4 linked regions of the Drosophila melanogaster genome follow. Changing the gene in region 3 together with the main gene of any one other region gives a genetic interaction. Each region holds a gene or a part of one and is shown on either strand. Other genes may lie near its edges.

Region 1 (3,300 bases), 8.0 Mb from region 3:
AATTTAATTTTCGAAATTGCAGGTATGAAATGAGCAATTTGGGGGGATAGAAAAAAACTACACCGTGGGCAGCGCGTCTATGAGTGTCTAACACCCACGGCTATAAAATTTGCATTCATAAAAGGCAAATGACTATAGAACAAATGCATAATTGTTTGGATCGGTGCCATACACTATAAAGTAAATCAATTTTCGACGTTGGTAAGCGGAACGCAAAGATAAAATCGAATTTAACGGCCTTAAAATATGTAGTAAAACAATTTGAGACTCAATCAATTTCTCTAATCAAACTTAAACGTTGAATTCGAGGTCTTAGTATTCAAAATACATCTAGATACGTTCTTATGTAAAATTCAAATTTGTTGTTTGAATTATAAAAACTGTTTGTAGGCTATGTACAATAGTACATTGTCGAATTAGTAAGGTGTTAAGATCGATGTTTTTATTTATTTGGCGATTGAAACCAACCTGTTTTGTCGCCTTGTGGAATGCCCGTAAAATAGTTGGCATTGGCATTGCGTATACGCAGCGTTGACTCCTCGTTGTCCTTAGATGTACACCACTTCCAATCGCCGCACTTTTGGCAACACGATAGTTTTTGACCCATGTCTCAAGTCGAACTACACACCCAGTTATTTTTCAAATGCTGGCGTATTCTGACTTTATCTATTGGGCAAACCGGTTCGCCTTGGCGATGATAAGCCTTACTTTGTTGATTCTCCGATGGATTTGTAGGATTGGTATTTGAACTTCGGAATATTGCTGCTACTCTAGAACCCAACAATTTCGCTGTCCGCAATTAACTGGCGTGTCATTTTTTGGTTAAACTGCTCGCGCGGAATGCAAAATCGAGGCAGTTTAAATTGTAACAGCTGCGATCACGTCATCGCCGTCGATGGCGTTGATTCGAAGCGGTCTATTAAGCTCCAACATTCGAATGATACTGAATACCGAATCGATCGGTCGTCTTCTCCCAACTATTCACATTTTACATACCATATGCCATGTGCCTGTGGTGGGTCAACGGTGTCACTTAGTTGATGGCCTCGAGTGTCCAAAAAGCAGAGATGCGTGTGTAAATTGATCAGCTTTACGGAATAAGTTGCAGTTGAATCATTCATGATTGACTTTGATTGCTATCAAATTGATTGACGACTATCTTAGTTAATTAATTAGTTTGAGTTATCATGAGTGTGCTAAAGGGGCGTGGTTGGGTTTAAATCTTTGTCAGTTCTGTCAACACAGACTTTAGATTTAGTGTTTTGCGTAATGGTTATTTCCTGGGAAGATACACTTTGAGAAATAAGCACTTCATATGTTCCTTCATTGTGACCTTGACAAGGTTATACGAAATTTACATGCATTTCTAATAGAGGGTTTGTCCCCAATATATAATCAAATACATAAAAATGATAAGCAAATATTTTTTATTAAAACTTTTAAAAATCGATAACCGCTTAAAGAAATTTCTACAGTTGGCGATCAGTCAATCAGAACGCAGAAATGAGTATAAAACATATCGAAAATTTTTTAAATGAGAAGGTGTCTACAAAAGAGCACAAGATATTTTGTGACGTCAATGGGTATACTAAGAGAACGCAAGAGAAAGAGATTGTCATAAATATACAAAAAGAACTCAGTAAATAATTGTTGTGTCTGTGAAAAGAAAAACATCAGTATCATTTTTCTCTGCCTCAGCAACAATTGTAATTGGAAATGGAACCTATACTGATAGAAAAATCTCAGTGGCCAGAGCTCAGAGATTTGTACGCGAATGATAGAACTAATCTCACGGGATTCGACTTAATCGAGTACTTTTTAAATTACATACCCTTATCCACAACCGAATCCATAAAGATATATACAACTGATACGGATTGGAGAACACATGGCAGTTATATACTAATTGTAAGCACATATATAGTTCACATACACTAGGTATGTGAAATATAACTTTAGATCTGCATTTCAGCATTATTTGGAGAACAAGGCCTATATTTATATGAATACCATTAAGGGAACCCCAGAAGATCTTGGCAAATTGTTGAACTCTCTAAAACTTAAAGTGTTTCATTTAATCTGTGGCTATGAAGAACGATTCAAACCATTAGTTGAGGCATATTGGCTGAATTTGGGTCAAGATTTGATTAATCTTGAACACCAGGGCGCTATTGTTTACCACCTGCCAAGCACCGAAATTCCCAGTTGGAAACCAAGGTAAAGTAAAATAATAATATTCAGTAAAATCTTGTTACAAATTTCTAACCCTTTAGTTTGAGTACCTCTTGCAAAGTGGCTTATATCACATCAAATCATGCCGAATTGGTCGACAAACATTGGGCTTATCGTTCAGCTGATTCTATAACTATGATAAGGGGTTTTATGGAGAACAATCTCGCTGTTGGTGTTTTTGATAACCAAGGAGAACCCCTAGCGTGGTGTCTAAGGTAAGAAAAGAAGATGGGTTTGATAATATTCCTGAAACAATCTGTATTTTCTAGATCTCCTCATGGTAGTTTGAGTAACCTACACGTTTTATCCTCACATCGTCGAATGGGATTGGGTTCTTTGGCAGTGCGCTTTATGGCTAATGAAATCAAGTTAAAGGGCTCAGAAGTTCTGGCCACAGTTGTTCCCGAAAACGAGGGTTCGCAAAAAATGTTCGAGAAACTAGGATTCAACAATATCAACAAACTCTACTGGGCAGTGATACCGTGCACTTTATAAATAAAGAATAAATACAGATTACAAACGTCTACTTTTATTATGAGTTTCGATTTACTTGTTTGCTCTCTTTGTAGTGCACAGCTTTTCTCTTATCTCATTTTGTTTTTTTTTTTTTTTGTTTCAAGTTTAGTCTGCGTTCAGCTTTTGTTGCGAAAGGTTGTCGTCATGTCGACGGAGAATTCGTTGGTTGAAATTCCACGCGGCGAATGGACTAAACTGCGAGATTTGTATGTGGCCAGAGATACGGATCCCCAAGGCTATCCGTGCATAAATAATTTCATTAAGTGGGTGGAGATAGACCCGCAATTGAAGGTCAATTTCCTATCGTTGAATGGCGACTGGCAGAGCGATGGAACCTTTGTTCTAACGGTAAGTTATGCGATGTGAAATGCAAAAGTTCGGTGATTGAATGTTGTCTAATCATCTCAGCTACGTTCGGATACTCATATGAACCACATTTACTTCAACACACTGAGCGAAAATTTGGATCGAGTGACGAAAGCGTTAGAATGCCTCAAGTCCATTGAGAATGAATACGATTTCTTTGGGTTTTCTACGCGATTGAAACCTGTG
Region 2 (4,266 bases), on a different chromosome or scaffold from region 3:
TCCCTTTTAATGTATATAGCCATCTTTGTTTGACACTCGAAATGGTTTTGCTTGGGACTTGTGGCATCATATGCACCAAATACTTATATAGTTGATAAGAACGATACACCTAAGAGGTTTTTATAGCACACAAAGTTTCCATATTTGGTTATTTATACTGTATTTAATGTATTAATAAATAAAACACGTCCTCGAGAGGATATTAACCAAAGATTGGAGTTTTGATAAATACATATATATACCCTTACGAACCATTATCTAGTGTTATCGTATGACCAAAAATTAATCTAGTAGCTGCCTGTTACACTAAGTCAGACAGATCTAAAACCCTTATTTAAACTAAATGTATTCTCCCAAACTTCTAGAACTACGTAGCGCATTTCGGCGAGCTTTTGTAGTCGGAATGTCATCCAAACCTCAGTACACCCTAAGCGAAGTGGATGGGGATCTGTTTTCCGCCCCCAAGACCTATTCCTTGGCGCACTGTGTGGGCGCAGATCTTGCGATGGGTGCTGGAATTGCCGTGCAGTTCAAGAAGGTATTCGGAAGGTTGGACGAGCTGCAAGCCCAACAAGCGGGCAGTGGAGATATTGCGGTGCTGAAGGATGACCAGCGGTACATTTACTACCTAGTAACCAAGCCTCAGAGCTGGGGAAAGCCCACCTACGAATCTGTACAAGCATCTTTGGAGCAGATGCGTGAGCATATGGTAAATACATGCCTGATACATATCTTTTATGAATGGAATGTATCCCTGCTTTTATTTATTATATATATAAAGCTTAGACAAGTTATATTAATAAGAGCTACATTTTATTATTCCTACATTAGCGCAAAAACAACGTGAATAAGCTGGCCATCCCAAAAATTGGCTGCGGAATTGATGGCTTGGAATGGGAAAAAGTCAGCGGAGTCCTCGAGTACGTTTTTGGCCAAGAGCCGCTGGAGATTGTTGTCTACAATTTTGTGCCTCCACAGGGAAAATAATGGATCGTTTAGTTTAATATGAGCCATTTACTTCATAGCAACATAATTATAAACGACCAGCTCAACAGAATCCGCTTGAAAAACCTGGCAAATTATTTCCTTAACTTTGGGCCAGTTTAGGCCATCCAAACCGCATCCAATGCGGGGCATGGCTAGCTTGGGTACTTGGTGGGAGATCTGCAAATGGTAGAAAGATTCGTATATCATAACTTCTTATAGAAGATACATAAACATACCATGTGTTTTCGCATGGCGATCAAGGAACTCTGGAGAAGTTCGTAGGTGGGCTTTCCCCAGCTGGATTTCTTGGTGATCAGATAGTAAATAAATCGCTGCTGGTCCTGAAGGACAGCCACGCCGCCTGGCTGAACATTTTGTCTCTGCAAATTCAACAACTGTCCAAATTTGTTTCTGGAAAATAGGCAAATTTACCATTTTATTAAAAACACTAAGCCATTACCTACCGAAACTTTACAGCTATGCCTCTGCCCATTCGCAAATCGGCAGCCACGCAGTGGCACATGGAATAATCCCTTTGGCATTTGAATAGGTCGCCATTGATCTCTCTGTAAGTTAGTCCTGACATTTCCATAAAACTTTTACATTTATACTCCTCCGACTTCTTCACAAAAATTGTTTTCAATTGTGCGCTTTCTGCGTGTCCACGTTTTCCTCCGAATGGCTGCCAGCTGGTGTTTGGCAACGCGTAAGTAAACAACGATTGGCAACACTGAAGCATATACACTGCACTAAAATTAAACCCGATCAGCTGATAACAAATGAGTTTTATTTTTAAATTTATTGCCACTTTTGTACGCAAAATGCTGGAGCTGTTGCAATTTGGAGGGAAAACCCTTACGCACACGCTGAGTATTTATGTAAAAACGAACACGGGCAAAACGCTGACCGTTAATCTGGAGCCCCAGTGGGATATTAAAAACGTAAAGGAACTGGTGGCACCACAATTGGGACTTCAGCCGGATGATCTAAAGATCATATTTGCCGGTAAGGAACTAAGCGATGCCACGACAATAGAGGTAAGAAGTTTCTTTAATGTATCCGCTACATGAAGTTAACTTTTACTGTCTTCTAGTAGCAATGTGACTTGGGTCAGCAAAGCGTTTTGCATGCCATTCGTTTGCGACCGCCCGTGCAGCGCCAGAAAATCCAGTCGGCCACTTTGGAGGAGGAGGAACCTTCGCTTAGCGATGAAGCCTCCAAGCCTCTAAATGAAACTCTGTTGGACTTGCAGCTGGAAAGCGAGGAGCGTCTGAATATAACCGATGAAGGTAGGCAACAATTAGTTTTTATTGTTTTTTTTTTTTTTAACGAAACCCCTTGTAATCCCGTCGTATCCTCTCCAGAAAGAGTCCGTGCCAAAGCGCATTTCTTTGTACATTGCAGCCAATGCGATAAGCTGTGTAATGGCAAACTTCGGGTCCGCTGCGCTTTATGCAAGGGCGGCGCCTTTACTGTCCATCGTGATCCGGAGTGTTGGGATGATGTCTTGAAGTCGCGTAGAATTCCCGGTCATTGTGAAAGTCTGGAGGTGGCCTGCGTGGACAACGCGGCTGGCGATCCGCCCTTCGCTGAATTCTTCTTCAAGTGTGCTGAGCATGTCTCCGGCGGGGAGAAGGATTTTGCGGCTCCATTGAATCTAATCAAGAATAACATCAAGAATGTTCCTTGCCTGGCCTGCACGGATGTGAGGTGATTATGCAATAAGGAACATCTTAATTTCTTATAATTTTCATATCATCGAAAATGTCATAAAAAGTTCTTTTAAAGTCTTTAAAGTAATTATTTGTCATATAATTTTATTCTGCTATAATCACCTTATTATGTTCGCAGTGATACCGTGTTGGTTTTCCCCTGCGCATCGCAGCACGTCACCTGTATCGACTGCTTCCGCCATTATTGCCGTTCCCGTTTGGGCGAGCGTCAGTTTATGCCGCATCCGGACTTCGGCTACACCTTGCCCTGTCCCGCAGGCTGCGAGCACTCGTTCATCGAGGAGATTCATCACTTCAAGCTGTTGACACGCGAGGAGTACGATCGGTACCAGAGATTCGCCACCGAGGAGTATGTCCTACAGGCAGGTGGAGTACTCTGCCCCCAGCCAGGATGCGGCATGGGCCTTTTGGTGGAGCCCGATTGTCGCAAGGTGACATGCCAGAACGGCTGTGGATACGTGTTCTGCCGCAATTGTCTGCAGGGCTACCATATCGGGGAGTGTCTGCCCGAGGGGACGGGCGCCAGTGCCACAAACTCCTGCGAGTACACCGTGGACCCAAATGTGAGTTGGCTCTTATACGGCCCATTCCCGCTTGTGTAATCATGTGCTTTTTTAGCGAGCTGCCGAGGCGCGATGGGATGAGGCCAGCAATGTCACCATCAAAGTCAGCACAAAGCCCTGTCCAAAATGCAGAACCCCCACGGAGCGAGATGGTGAGTTGGGCGAGCATCGAAGACACCCAAGACGCAGTTTGTAACACATCCATACCGTCTTCTTCTCTTCCTACCAGGCGGTTGCATGCACATGGTCTGCACACGCGCTGGCTGCGGATTCGAGTGGTGCTGGGTCTGCCAGACTGAGTGGACACGCGACTGCATGGGAGCCCACTGGTTCGGCTAATCCTTCGTCATCGTTGTACGTCGGCCCGACGGGTCCTTTTTGTTTGTTGACTACTTTTAAATTGTATACCATAGTAAAGACTGCTCGAACAACACCCTGTTTGTCGTCTACGCAATCAATAGCAGAAACACCCCTGACAAGGACCAACGCGAATCACATCCTACCCCACTCTGTTCCTTTGTTGCGTGCGCACAAAAACTTTGTTTACGTTTTTTTTTAAGCTCGCCCACAAATATTTTGAGGGCTTTCCTCTTCGGCCAGGCATGCGAAAACCGCAACAAACACGTGCATTTGGCCAAACAGCCAGAGAGCGAGTGCCGCGAATGCGCAGTGGGTGGTCAGCGGCACAAGGTTCATGTGATTTCAACCCAGGCGCGTAGCCGCAAGGGGACTAATAATTGATTGGGGGATGGTAAAGGCATTTCAAAAATGTTCCTGGATTTTCAAAAGTACTAACTACTATTCTTGCTAAAGAGAGAAAACACAAAAGAGAAAATTATTAAGAAACTGAAACTTAAATTTTGGCCGTTAATACGTAAAATTAAATATTTCACTTTAATACAGTTTTATAATTCATATGTGCAACCGCCCTAGGACACATCTGTAAATCAATAGATTTTAGGCAATTATATATAGGAAACACG
Region 3 (5,018 bases):
TCGAAGGCGCTGCCGAAATACAGAGCCATAATGGGACCGTTCCAATGGCCAGTCTGGGTCGCTCTGATTTGCGTTTACCTCGGTGGAATATTTCCGATAGTTTTTACCGACCGTTTGACACTTAGCCATTTAATGGGTAATTGGGGTGAGGTAGAAAACATGTTCTGGTATGTATTTGGCATGTTCACAAACGCTTTCTCCTTCACCGGAAAATACTCGTGGAGCAACACGCGGAAAAATTCCACACGCCTTCTAATTGGAGCATATTGGCTCTTTACAATTATCATTACATCTTGCTACACAGGTTCCATCATAGCATTCGTAACGTTGCCAGCTTTTCCGGACACCGTTGACTCTGTGTTGGATCTGCTGGGATTGTTCTTTCGCGTTGGAACCCTGAGTAAGAAAAGGTTAGGCTCGCTACATTTGTATATAATATTTGGGCTTCTTACTTAAAGACAATGGTGGCTGGGAGACCTGGTTCCAGAACTCGACCCATATACCGACGTCTAGATTGTACAAGAAAATGGAGTTTGTCGGGTCCGTAGATGAGGGCATTGGCAACGTTACCCAGAGCTTCTTTTGGAACTATGCCTTTCTTGGCTCAAAGGCTCAGCTCGAATACCTGGTGCAGTCAAATTTTTCAGATGAGTAAGATCGATCCTTTATTTTTAATCTTCCCACCGTAAACGATATCCTCTTTTAGAAATATTTCCCGCCGATCGGCGCTTCATTTGAGTGAAGAGTGTTTTGCTCTTTTCCAAATAGGATTTCTGTTTCCCCGAGAGTCAGTGTATAAAATCAAAATCGACTCGATGATATTACTTGCCCAGCAAAGTGGTCTTATTGCAAAAATCAATAACGAGGTAAGCTGGGTCATGCAGCGATCATCTTCAGGACGCCTGCTCCAGGCAAGTTCTTCGAATTCCTTACGCGAAATAATTCAGGAAGAGCGCCAATTGACTACAGCGGACACAGAAGGAATGTTCCTGCTCATGGCACTGGGCTACTTTCTAGGAGCCACAGCCCTGGTATCCGAGATCGTCGGTGGGATTACCAACAAGTGCCGCCAAATAATCAAGCGCTCCCGCAAGTCGGCCGCCTCCTCTTGGTCGTCGGCGTCAAGTGGGTCAATGCTTCGCACTAATGCCGAGCAACTTTCCCATGATAAGCGAAAGGCCAATAGACGCGAGGCTGCTGAGGTTGCTCAAAAAATGAGTTTTGGAATGCGCGAGTTAAATCTTACCCGCGCAACGCTTCGGGAAATATACGGAAGCTACGGGGCACCTGAAACAGATCATGGTCAGCTAGACATCGTCCACACTGAGTTTCCAAACAGTTCTGCAAAATTAAATAATATTGAAGACGAAGAATCTCGGGAAGCTCTTGAATCTCTGCAGCGTTTAGACGAATTTATGGACCAGATGGATAACGACGGCAATCCTTCCTCACATACATTCCGTATTGACAATTAATCACAGAAATTTTTAAATGCAAATACAAAATAATCACTTTAGTGCACATGAAATTATATGTATTGAAATAAAAAGTTTGATGCAACAACAAATTTTACAGTTGTTTGGTATTTTGTATGGGAAAGTTTGTGGCAATATATGGTTTTACTTGAAAGCGGATTGGACATGGTCACACTGCCCACAAATCACAACATTGCGTTATAAATGAAGCACATCTAGTTTTGTGTTAAGAAAGTGGTTCACAATTTATATAGCAGGTTATGGTAAAACATCGATCGTTCCGAAAAATTCCGCTCGTTGGCACATTTTCTAAATTTTTCGTGCGACAGCGGTGATTATTATATGATATTATTATGATTATATATACAAAAATTATTATAATTATATAAAAGTTGGCGACCATATCAAAAAGGTTGCTATAAAAACAAATGGCAATTTATAGCGGAGTTTCACTCCCAAAGCGATGTTCTCCACCCATTCCAGTCAGTCATGGTAAATATACCTTCTAAAAAATATATGATTTTTTCGATAGAGATACACGGGCACACTAGACCCACCGATCGCGACTTTGTGTGTGTTAAAATGACGCGCATATCGTTTTGGGCTAATAATATTGTTCACGTTTTATAAAACAGATACACGGTTAAGCTCTGACCGGTCGTATTATTATCTGTGTGTTCTTGGTTGACACGTTTATTTCATTTATTCTCATTTAAAGCAACGATGTGAAGAACAGTGCGGGCGTTTCTCAACATAAGAATACATACAAACTTATGCGTGATGGTGAGCAAATAAAATAGTTCAAAAAATTACTCGGCCACCGCCTTAACCGTACAAACGGAAATACATAAAGGTAAAGGGCTCAACAACAGTATTACTGATTAGGCAATTGATTTATATTTCAAACTTCTTAAATAAAGTGTCCACAAATATGTATGTTCTTAGCATAGAGGCGTAGTCGGTGAGTCAGCCACGCCAACAGTTAACAGTCGTCATTTTGCTGTCTGTCTAACACGCAATTTGTGTGTGTATATGTGAATAAACAGATACCGGTATGCAATCGCAAAGCTGGTCAACTGTAAAGATCGGTATGTACTCAAAATTAGGTCATCACCTTGTTATGCAGATACATTTGGGAAACAGTTGACTTACTTGGTATTGGTTATCAGCCGAAAAGCAAATGGTGATACGGTTTTGCACCTCAGCTTACTCACGGATACATACCTACGTACATAAATGTATGTATACGGTATACAGTCTTAGAAAAAATATTAGTACCGACCAGCTAGCGTTTGCCTAAAACGCTTTTACAAAAATAAACGTATATGTTTTAAGTTGTTTTTTGTCCTAATTAATACATTTATTATTATTTATTTATGAATTTTAGAGCTTTAATAGTAACTAAATTGTTTAAACAAACTTTAAAAAAGATTTACAAATAAAAAAATATTTCGTGTGCGTGACGGAATTGCTAGTTCATTAAAGGGAGGTACATATGTACATACATACACATTGCAAAGAGTACAGATCGCTCATCATTTCATTTTTCCTAATGTACATATACATATGTACAAACATGTTTATTAAACTGCCTACATGCAAATCTTTGAAGTTTTAAGAAAATAAGCACAACTAGTTTGGAAAATCTTGGGAGCCAAGATCTATCTGTCCACTGATTTTCCTATGACTTCAAGAATGTAAAACCCTTTTTGTTAAACAAATTTTGATTAAAGTATACCAGAATAATATTAAACGTATCGTCCGTATCTATAAAAGGTATTAATAGTATTACCTAAATTTAAATTCTCGGTTTTATTCATAAGAGTGAAAAAATATACAAGTTCCTTTTTAATTTTTTACTTATTGAAAATTTGATTAATTTTTATTATTATTTTCAGTTTAGAATAAATTCGGCCACAATTAATATACTTATTTATTCATCAAAACCAAACCACCACAAGAGCATAACCAATCATGTTAAAGTTTATCAGAGGAAAAGGGCAGCAGCCCAGTGCTGACAGACAACGCTACATCGTAAGGTAAAACAAACAATTTTCTCTTTCCGTTCTATTTTTTTTTTTTTAAGTATTTGTAGCCGATTGGTATATTTTGTGGGGTCATTTATTTTGATCTTGGGTGGTAAATACATTTTTATGGAAGTTAGAAGAAAGCTTATAATTTATGAGGAATAAATAAATACCTCCTTTTGAATCTTTTGTTATGTCTTCTCCTATGTGCATACTTTTGGGCATTAACATTTAGGTAAATTTTTTCCACCGCAACTACAAGTAAACCGCATACACACACAGTATTTTGTAGACTCGCGCCACAAAGCACCGCATAAAAAAGGTTACGGTGCTTTTTTGCTCGTTTCTTTTGTGCACTCCTTCTATGCGGTGCCAAATATGAGGAGGTACCTGAAGCTTGGTTGATTTTGTGAGTGTCTTTTTCCACAGCATATTTTTGTGTATTGGCTACTTTAAAAATTCTATTATATCGTTGTGCTCGTAATGTTGTCCATTCCTTTTAAATATTTTCGAATTAAATATACCATAGATGTTTCCCTATTACCATAATAGTTTAATAAATATACGTATATGAAATTTTTTTTATCCTATGTTAGTATAAACATGTTATTCAACAAATAAAAGTAGGTCAGAGGTAATCGCCATCCAGCTCCAGAAAGAGGGGGGAGCTGATAAGATTGCGTTTATGTACCTAATGGGTTGGGTAAGTGGCTTGGTTTCACAAACACCCTTATTTCAGGTACAAAATAAGTATGTCATAGACGGCGTAAAATTGATAAGATTTTAAAGTCAAAAGAAAATGAGTTTATTCGCCTGTAACTGCGTTAGAAATCCAAATACACCCGCAATATTATATGTATAGAAAGAAAAAGTTTGATGCAACAACAAATTTAAAGTTGTTTGGTATTTTGTAATGGAAAGTTTGTGTCACTAAATATGGTTTTACTTGAACGCAGATTGGACATGGTCACACTGCCCACAAAATCACGACATTGCGTTATAAATGAAGCACATCTAGTTTTGTGTTGAAAATGTGGTTCACAATTTATATAGCAGGTTATGGTAAAACATCGATCGTTCCGAAAAATTCCGCTCGTTGGCACATTTCCTAAATTTTTCGTGCGACAGCGGTGATTAATTACAAAAATTATTATTATAATTATATAAAAGTTGGCGACCATATCAAAAAGGTTGCTATAAAAACAAATGACAATTTATAGCGGAGTTTCACTCCCAAAGCGATGTTCTCCACCCATTCCAGTCAGTCATGGAAAATATACCTTCTAAAAAATATATGATTTTTTCGATAGAGATACACGGGCACACTAGACCCACCGATCGCGACTTTGTGTGTGTTAAAATGACGCGCATATCGTTTTGGGCTAATAATATTGTTCACGTTTTATAAAACAGATACACGGTTAAGCTCTGACCGGTCGTATTATTATCTGTGTGTTCTTGGTTGACACGTTTATTTCATTTATTCTCATTTAAAGCAACGATGTGAAGAACAGTG
Region 4 (7,789 bases), about 19 Mb from region 3:
AAAGTTGCTAATTAATTTCAGCAAGGGGTATGTTCATAAATTATTTGCGTCTGAACTTCAAATTAATGTGTATGGTGTATCTCGTTATTGGACTATAGGTTAAATTTTTAAAAGCAGCAATTAGGTATTTGAATTGATCATTAGATCGTTTGACTTTAGGGATTTCTTATAAACATTTATTTTTATTTCTTTAAGGGTTATTTATACTATAAAAGGCAATGATCAGCAGGGTCTGGTTCTGGGAATCTCTTGGAATAGCCCTTCTCTTATCTACACCTTTTATTTTATAGGTACTCAAAACAATCTAAACATATTTGAACCTGGTTAATGGGAGATACCTTTGGGAAACCGTCCTCCATGTGGTAAACTCCACTAATGAATCTCTGCGTCTTGCAGGAACTACACAGAGGGCTGGGTAACCGAAGCGGATGAGGGCCGCGACTCTACACTGGAATACCGGCTGAGCATTGTGGATGCGGCCAGCGACGACTCCGGGTTCTATTCGTGCATGACCCCAGCTCGGCATGAGCACACCGTGGAGGTGGTGGTGCGGGCCATCAACTGCCCGGAGATACCGATGCGACGCGGCCTGATCGTGAACACCAACGATACTAAGCTGAGCACGCGGGCGCTGCTGTCCTGCGCTAACGGGAACTCCTTGATTGGCGCCTCGGAGCTGTTCTGCCTACCGAGTGGCAATTGGAGCGCACCGTTGCCGGTCTGCGAGAGCGTCGAGTGCGGCGACATCCCGCTGGGAATGGGCAGCAACGCGAGCTCGCCCCGTGTGTCCGTGCTGTCGCGCGAGGTGGGCGGCCGGGCGGCCTTCTCGTGCGCCTCCGGTTACGGGCTGCGTGGTCCGGCGGAGGCGATCTGCAATCCGACGGGCGAGTGGTCAGCGCCGCTGCCCACCTGCGTCGAGGTGCAGTGCGACAATCCGGGGGCGCCGCAAAATGGTTACGCCCAGGGCTCAGCACCTTATCGTGCCGGCGACGTGGTCCAGTTCAATTGCAATCCCGAGTACATGATGCAGGGCCAGCCGATCATTGCCTGCCAGGATAATGCCAGGTGGTCTGGCGGGCTGCCCAAGTGCGTGCAGGCCTGCTCGTATCCGGGCACCGTCATCAGCGGCAGGATGTCCTCCGTCAAGTTCTACTACGCCATCGGCGAGAGCATCACGTTCACTTGCGATGCCGGACTGGATCTGCGCGGCTCCAAGGTGCTCAAGTGCCTTAAGAACGGCAAGTGGTCCAGTGCCATTCCCACGTGCGTGACAAACGAGGGTCCTGTCGGCGGAGGAGGAGGAGGAGGAGGAGGCGGCGGCGGAGGATCCGGATCCGTGGCCACCAACAAGCACCTGGCCACCACCATGGGCTAGAGCGATTCGGATTGCCGGTTGCTTCAGAGTGATACTAATACATATTACTACCTACTAACTAATGCACATTCCAGGCGCACAGTCACGCGTTTACCAACTAGTAACGCCATTCTTGCGATTCAATTGTAACTGTAGCGTAACTGTAGCCCTGTACTGTATCGCACGGCCATCATTTTACTTTCAATAAATGTTCGTCGAATAAAGACAAAAGTTCTTCTGTTTTAATTATATTTTGATTTCCGTTACATAGTTAGGATTAAATTTGAATTCAAATGTAGTGTTGTTAATCGGAATCGGAATGGTTGGGCGCTTCTTTTCAGCACTGGTTATGTTAGCGACAGCGCTGTTAAATGTAAAGTGTGCCGCCGTCATGGTCACACTGCCCGACTGCTGGCGATAGTATCGGGTAAGCATCGATATAAGTTCCAACCCCAGCTCGAATCGCATTTAAATTTTAAAACGCTGGCAGAAATCTCACTAGCTTAAGATTCCGTTTAGTTTTCGGTTAAGTGCAACGGCCAGTATTCCCTTTCCCGCACGCGAAGCACCCGTTCGAATTTATCGTTTAAAACTCACGCATTCCCCTCGCCCACGCACTGCTGTTGATGCTGCTGAGCTGCCGTTGTTGTTGCTGTTGTTGCTTCCACTGCTGTTGTGTGGCTGCTGTTATTGTGGTTGTTGTTGGTGCAAGGACAAGTGACGTCCTTCGAAAAAGGCGCAACAATTTACGTCGCGCAACAAGGTGTTTTCGGGGGTGGCGGGAAAATCAATAAATAGCAAAAAGCAAGTGCATACACAAGTGTATATGTACGTATGTACACACATATATGCATGTATGGTGCCCGTCGCGGTTGAGTGTGTGTGCGTTGTATACTGAAACTTTCTTTTTCTAGGCAGCCAGCTGTAAAATAGAACACAGTCGCTAAACAAAGGAAATTGGCCCAAAACGCAGAGAATTCAGTAGACCCTATTATGGACAACGCGGGCGAGGACAGCGACAATGATGTGGTCACCGATTTTCTGAACTCCAACTGCAGCGAGTCCTCGGAAGCGCTGGTTAATGGTGGCTCTACCAACCGAGGCGCCTCCATCGAAAGCCAGAACTATTGCATACCCGTAATAAACGCACCCGTTCCTGGTCCAGCGCGCGCCCCCATTGCTCCGCCACCAGCATCTAATCCTGCCAGCAACACCATCAATAACAACAACATGATACCCACCATAAATGTGACGCCACACAGTCCCGCCCTGGCCTCCAAGTACAACAACATATTCGAGGACACGCTGAGCCAGCTGCAGAACATCCGCGAAACGGTCGTCCAGATGAAGAACTCCTCCTCGCCTAGCCAGCACATGCAGGACGGCAGCTTGGCCAATCATGGACTGCTCAGCGCAGCTATACTGAGTACTTCGCTGCCCGATCTTACGGGGACGGGCACGGGTCCCGCGTCCGGTGGCTCCAACTACGCCATGTGGTCTTCCACGGCACCGCAGCAGTGCCAGTTTCTTCACACAGACCGCCGGAAATCCTGGACAGCCGTGGACGATGGCAGCGGCGCTGGCGACTGCACCAACAAGAGCGTCAGCCTATCCAGCCTGGACAGCGAGGAGCAGGAAACCATTCGCGTCACCGAGCAGCGACGAAGGTCGGCCAGGAACAGCACTGGAGGTAGATATGCACTAAGGTTTCGGGGGTGGGTTGGCAAAGCCATAAGTGTGCAATGCAATAGTAGTTCAGATATTTGTATACCTGCAACATGGCTGGCCCTGTTGATTAGGTAAATTTGCCAATATTATTTAATTATTTAGACAAAAGTGTTTAGGTGTTGAAAGTTTAAAATAATACTAAACAAAAATGCATTCAAAATTAAGTCGGAAATGGATTTTACAGAGGAATCTCTAAATTGTCGGCTATTCCAAAGGTTTTTGAAAATGTTATCACTACTCATTTGCAGCGCCTTTGTAGGTCAATTATATCACCATGTCAGCAGAAACGCAGATAAACAACCAATAACCTTTTGGAGCTAACTTCCTTCGTAATACAGGGCTTCAGAAATAATATTCAAACAGGTGTCATCTACACTGACTTTAGTAAAGCATTTGTCTTTATAAATAATTCTCTTCTAGTAAGCAAACTTGATTTATTAGGTTTATCTGTTGATCTTCTAAAAAGGATTTTAAGTTATCTGAACTTAAAGGACGCATCCGGGTACTCTTTGAAAATTTTCTATCTCGTATTCTCCTAGTGAGCAATGAAACATTCGCTTGTACTTATGTACGCATCGTATGGTAAATTATGCCTCCAGTATAATGAAAATTCTTCCCATTTAGCTTTACAATCCGATTTCAATAGCTTTCAAATATGGTGCCGTGGTAACGTACTAAACTTAAATGGCTCCAAGTGAAAAGTTATGACCTTTCGACAGAATAACTTCTCTGTTCCAAGCAGATTCACTAGAAACTACAAGCCCTAATCTTAAATTATTGTAGAATGTAGAATATTGTAGAGGTGTGACCGTGGGACTCGCGGAAAAAAAATGGGAAAATATGTATGATAAGATATCGTTAATAAAGTCAATAAATTTTGCCAATTGATTGCTCAAAATAATATGCCACTCAACCAAAGAGTAGGGGCTACTACCAAGTTAGCTTCGTTTCGATGTGGAATTCCACAAAACCCCCTTATCTGTAAGCCCATATAGTGTTTTGGTATTGGTAGCTCCGACCAAAGCTATCAGAAACCCCTTGCGATTAGTTATTGCTAACGGACCGACTCTCTAACTTTGACTACTCGCAGGTATTTCGACCCATTCGCTAAACGAGGCGGAGCTGGCCCGTGACTTCGAGAGGATTGCTGCCAAGCGAAGCCTGGCAACGGAGATCATCAGCAGAATACCGCTGCAGAAAAGCATATCGACGAGCTCAATTATAGCCAAGGAGGATATCAAGGCGATCGCGCGCCACCTCACGGACAGCGAGGATGAGAATCAAAGCCTCTTGCGGGCGCACGCAAAAATCGAGGTCTACGACACCGTAGAGAAGCGACCCAAGCGCGGTTCTATATTCTTCCGCAAAAAGAAGCCCAAGGCGAAAACGAAGTCGTTGGTGGGAGGCCAGCTTAGTGCGTGCGACGTCTGCGGTGCTGCAATCACACTGGCGCAGATCAAGGAACATCACCTTGAGTGCAAGGTGAAGAAAATGGGCGGCGGCCAGGATTACTACGACGGGCCGGATGCGAGCACTTTTAGCAACCCAGAGGATCAGCCTCTGATACGTTCCGATTTGCAGTTTCTCAACGAAGCGCCGATCGAAGCACAAGACTTGGGAGCCGATCCCGTTCTAGGCATCGTTCTCAAGGAGCACGACTCCTGGACACCCAATGTGCCTAGGGAGTTACTCAAGACGCTGAAGGATCTGCAGATCAAGCGGCAGGAACATATCTATGAGTTCATTATGACCGAGAAACACCACTGCCAGACACTGATCGTCATGCAGAAGGTGTTCGTTGAGAGTCTGGAGCGGCACTTTCCATCACTCAACCTAAACAGCATGTTTCCGCGCCTGCAACAGCTCACCGATCTGCACACCTGCTTCCTGCGCCAGTTGCGACTGAAGCAACGCGAACAGCATATGGTGGACAGCATCGCGGACATATTGCTCGATTTCTTCTCGCTGGAGCAGGCGCAATGCCTGCGTCTGGCCTACGGAGAGTTCTGCGCCAATCATCGCAGCGCCCTGGACCAGTTTAAGCTCTGTCTAACCGAGCCAAGCTTCGCCGAATGGTACAAGCACTGTCTACAGAATCCGTTGCTTAAGAAGAAGGGCATCCCCGAATGCATCTTGTTCGTGACTCAGCGCCTTACCAAATACCCGTTGCTCATCGAGCCGCTGCTGAAGAGCGCCAGGGATAACAAGCTGGAGACAGACAAGCTTCAGCATGCCCTCAACCTGGTCAAATCTCTTCTGGTCGATGTGGATGCGTGTGTGGCGGAGAAAGAGCTGCGCGAACGACAGCTGGAAATCTATGGTCGCGTGGATGCCAAATCCTTTGCTATCTACAAAAATAAGCCTTTCCGAAAAACTGAGCTTGGTGTGGAGTCGCGACGTCGTCTGAAATTTGATGGATTGGCCACCCTCATGCAGGGCAGGGCTAAGACGCAGCTTGTCCTTGTTGTGGTGCTCACCGACTGCCTGTGCTTTCTGAGCGAGAACTCCGGTCACAACAAGTACTCATTCTTCACGCCGGAGCACAAGGCTGGAGTGGTTCCTCTCCAGAAATTGCTTATCCGCGAAAAGGCAGGCACCGAATCCCGGGGAATATATATTATCAGTTCCAATCCGGATTTCCCAGAAATGTACGAGCTGAAAGTGCAGACGCCAAAGGACAAGAACACTTGGATTCAGACCATCCGTCAGGCTGTGCTTGACTGTCCCGCAACGGACATAATCGAGGCGGAGGATCTCACGGCGGAGGAGAAGCTGCGAATCGGAGTGAACAAAAGGGAGACCATCGAGAAGATGCGACAAAAGGACATTGAACAGGCGCTACTGCTGGAGGAGAAACTGATGCTTCAATTCAATTTGCTCAAGGAGCAGCAGCCCTTTGGAGATGTGGCCGGCACCAATTCCAGTTGCAGTGCAGCCAACTTCCTGGCGGCCTTCGGCTCATACAAGGATCTCGTTAGTGCCGACTGTGACACGGCGGAGCTGTGGCGCAGAGTGCTCAACACGGTGCAGGACATCAGCCAGTTGGCTTCCACGATCTACTCGGCGGCCACAGGTCAGCCGGTGCCCAGGACTCTGAGTAGTGTCGGCGAAAAGCAGAGTGAGCAGTACGCTTCGCCCACTCTGCCCAAGCGGGCGGAAACATTTGCTGGCTTCGACGAAAAGCGCGGCAAGCTGGCCTCCAAGCTAGTGCTAACACCCCGCCTTCAGGAATTGGAAGAGAAGCGAGAACCAAAGAGTGGGTCCAGCTCGGTGTCGGAGCAGCCTTTAGAGAACAACTATGCGGTGCTACAGGTGACGCACCATCTGCAGACTCTGCTGTGCGTCATCTCCCAGCAGATGACCACCATCAATAACCTGCAGCTCCAGCTGGCCCTTTACAGGGAGAGTCCTCGCTCGAGTGCCTACACGCACAAGGATCAATTGGAGGAGCTGCGTAACCTGCAGGACAAGCAGCAGGAGGAGAAGACCGCATGGCAGCGTCAGCTGAAGCAGCAACAGGAGGAACTCGCCGAGATGCGGGCACAACAGCTGCAGTTGCAGAAACAGATCAAAGCCGAGCAGGAGGATGTGCGCCAGCAGCGTGAACAGCTGTACAAGAAGATGGAGCTCCTCTCCAGTCAGGGTCTGTTGCTGTCGCCCAGCACTCCCCTGCCACCGGTCAGCAACAATCATCCTCCACCTGCTGCGCTGTTGGATGACAGCCACGAGACAGACAATGGATTAAGTGGAAGTGGGACGGGCAGCAGCACGCCCAGTGTGGGTGGAACCTTTGATCGACGTAAGGAGAAATGGCTGAGTGGCTCATCCAGCTGCAAAACTCCGCCTGTGAATTTGATCAGCGCCAATAATGCGCCCAAAGTCAACCCCACTCTGGTCAAGCAAAAGCTGCCCATGAAGCTCTCCTCGCTCTCGTCCAGCGGCACTTCTAGCTCCCGCGTAGACAAGTCCGCCAGCTTTAATAGCGCATCACCGACACCCTACATCTCCGCCGGCAGTGTGCAGCAGATGTTCCCTCTAAAGTTGGCTGACCGGAGGACAGCCACGCCCTCGAACTGTACAACGACGCCCACGACGGGAATGGTGCCGCAGCACTCGCGAACAGGAAGCTCGCCGGCGATCATCCAGCAGGCAACGACCACCGCAACTCCCACCCAGACCCCCGTAGCTCGAGCAGAATCGGTGGCCCACTACACTCGCACTCCAACGAGCAGCCGGACAGGAATTGCAAGAACGGCAGGAATCGCTGTGGCCACTGGCACAGCTCCTCGAGCCAAGCCCGAGGAAGAGGAGATCTACTTCTGACGCCAGTTCACGCCTGAAGTCGAAATCTAAATGTGGAATCATTTGAAACCACTATCATTCCAATCGATATAAAAACCTTCTTGAAGTCATAACCGGAAGCCTGATCTTGGGCAATGAGGGGAACTGGAAATGTACTTCCATACCTGTTGAACTGTACCTATACCATTCGAAAATCTACAATCCCAATATCGTACTGCCCATTTTAGGCTCAATATCGCAAATGTTATCTTTAATTTAAGCAAACGTACTGTACTTAATGGTATTTCCTACGGACTCGCTATCAATCCAATGAATCTCAAACTGTTTAGTAATTTAGTTAACCAATTATTTATTACCATTATTTATATATTTTTTAAACCAATTTTACTTCGGACAAAAGATTAA

What was found.
Region 1: of l(2)gl (region 3) and Glyat, changing one suppresses a phenotype caused by changing the other (phenotypic suppression), as found in Drosophila melanogaster (one study listed by BioGRID).
Region 2: of l(2)gl (region 3) and park, changing one suppresses a phenotype caused by changing the other (phenotypic suppression), as found in Drosophila melanogaster (one study listed by BioGRID).
Region 4: of l(2)gl (region 3) and cyst, changing one suppresses a phenotype caused by changing the other (phenotypic suppression), as found in Drosophila melanogaster (one study listed by BioGRID).

Annotation. Positions count from the first base shown.
Region 1 is NT_033779.5:8,009,052-8,012,351, reverse strand, and holds Glyat (glycine N-acyltransferase), read left to right. Parts: upstream 1-1,699; 5' UTR 1,700-1,716; coding exon 1,717-1,908; intron 1,909-1,972; coding exon 1,973-2,217; intron 2,218-2,273; coding exon 2,274-2,447; intron 2,448-2,501; coding exon 2,502-2,727; 3' UTR 2,728-2,749; downstream 2,750-3,300. Other genes in the region: Tg (transglutaminase), read right to left, coding at 469-607; CG12560 (uncharacterized protein), read left to right, coding at 2,893-3,096, 3,157-3,300.
Region 2 is NT_037436.4:21,194,203-21,198,468, reverse strand, and holds park (parkin), read left to right. Parts: upstream 1-1,615; 5' UTR 1,616-1,693; intron 1,694-1,699; exon of another isoform or gene 1,700-1,756; 5' UTR 1,757-1,766; coding exon 1,767-2,024; intron 2,025-2,083; coding exon 2,084-2,276; intron 2,277-2,332; exon of another isoform or gene 2,333-2,351; coding exon 2,352-2,697; intron 2,698-2,822; exon of another isoform or gene 2,823-2,838; coding exon 2,839-3,283; exon of another isoform or gene 3,284-3,338; coding exon 3,339-3,435; exon of another isoform or gene 3,436-3,512; coding exon 3,513-3,622; 3' UTR 3,623-3,715; downstream 3,716-4,266. Other genes in the region: Targ2 (terminal ADP-ribose protein glycohydrolase 2), read left to right, coding at 1-10; Targ1 (terminal ADP-ribose protein glycohydrolase 1), read left to right, coding at 344-709, 832-920, 979-1,009; Targ3 (terminal ADP-ribose protein glycohydrolase 3), read right to left, coding at 1,015-1,164, 1,224-1,398, 1,452-1,573. UniProt on the Drosophila melanogaster protein: E3 ubiquitin-protein ligase which accepts ubiquitin from E2 ubiquitin-conjugating enzymes in the form of a thioester and then directly transfers the ubiquitin to targeted substrates, such as Paris, Marf, Opa1, Miro, pnut, Septin1, Tom20 and porin.
Region 3 is NT_033779.5:18,376-23,393, reverse strand, and holds the start of l(2)gl (lethal (2) giant larvae), read left to right. Parts: upstream 1-2,017; 5' UTR 2,018-2,328; intron 2,329-2,420; 5' UTR 2,421-2,563; intron 2,564-3,373; exon of another isoform or gene 3,374-3,378; 5' UTR 3,379-3,449; coding exon of another isoform or gene 3,450-3,509; 5' UTR 3,510-3,514; intron 3,515-4,823; exon of another isoform or gene 4,824-5,018. Other genes in the region: Ir21a (ionotropic receptor 21a), read left to right, coding at 1-400, 459-651, 707-1,475. UniProt on the Drosophila melanogaster protein: Essential for the development of polarized epithelia, for cell polarity associated with asymmetric cell division of neuroblasts during development, and for oocyte polarity formation.
Region 4 is NT_033779.5:19,502,745-19,510,533, reverse strand, and holds the start of cyst (cysts), read left to right. Parts: upstream 1-1,769; 5' UTR 1,770-2,347; coding exon 2,348-3,044; intron 3,045-4,172; coding exon 4,173-7,405; coding exon of another isoform or gene 7,406-7,435; 3' UTR 7,436-7,789. Other genes in the region: Hasp (Hig-anchoring scaffold protein), read left to right, coding at 397-1,375.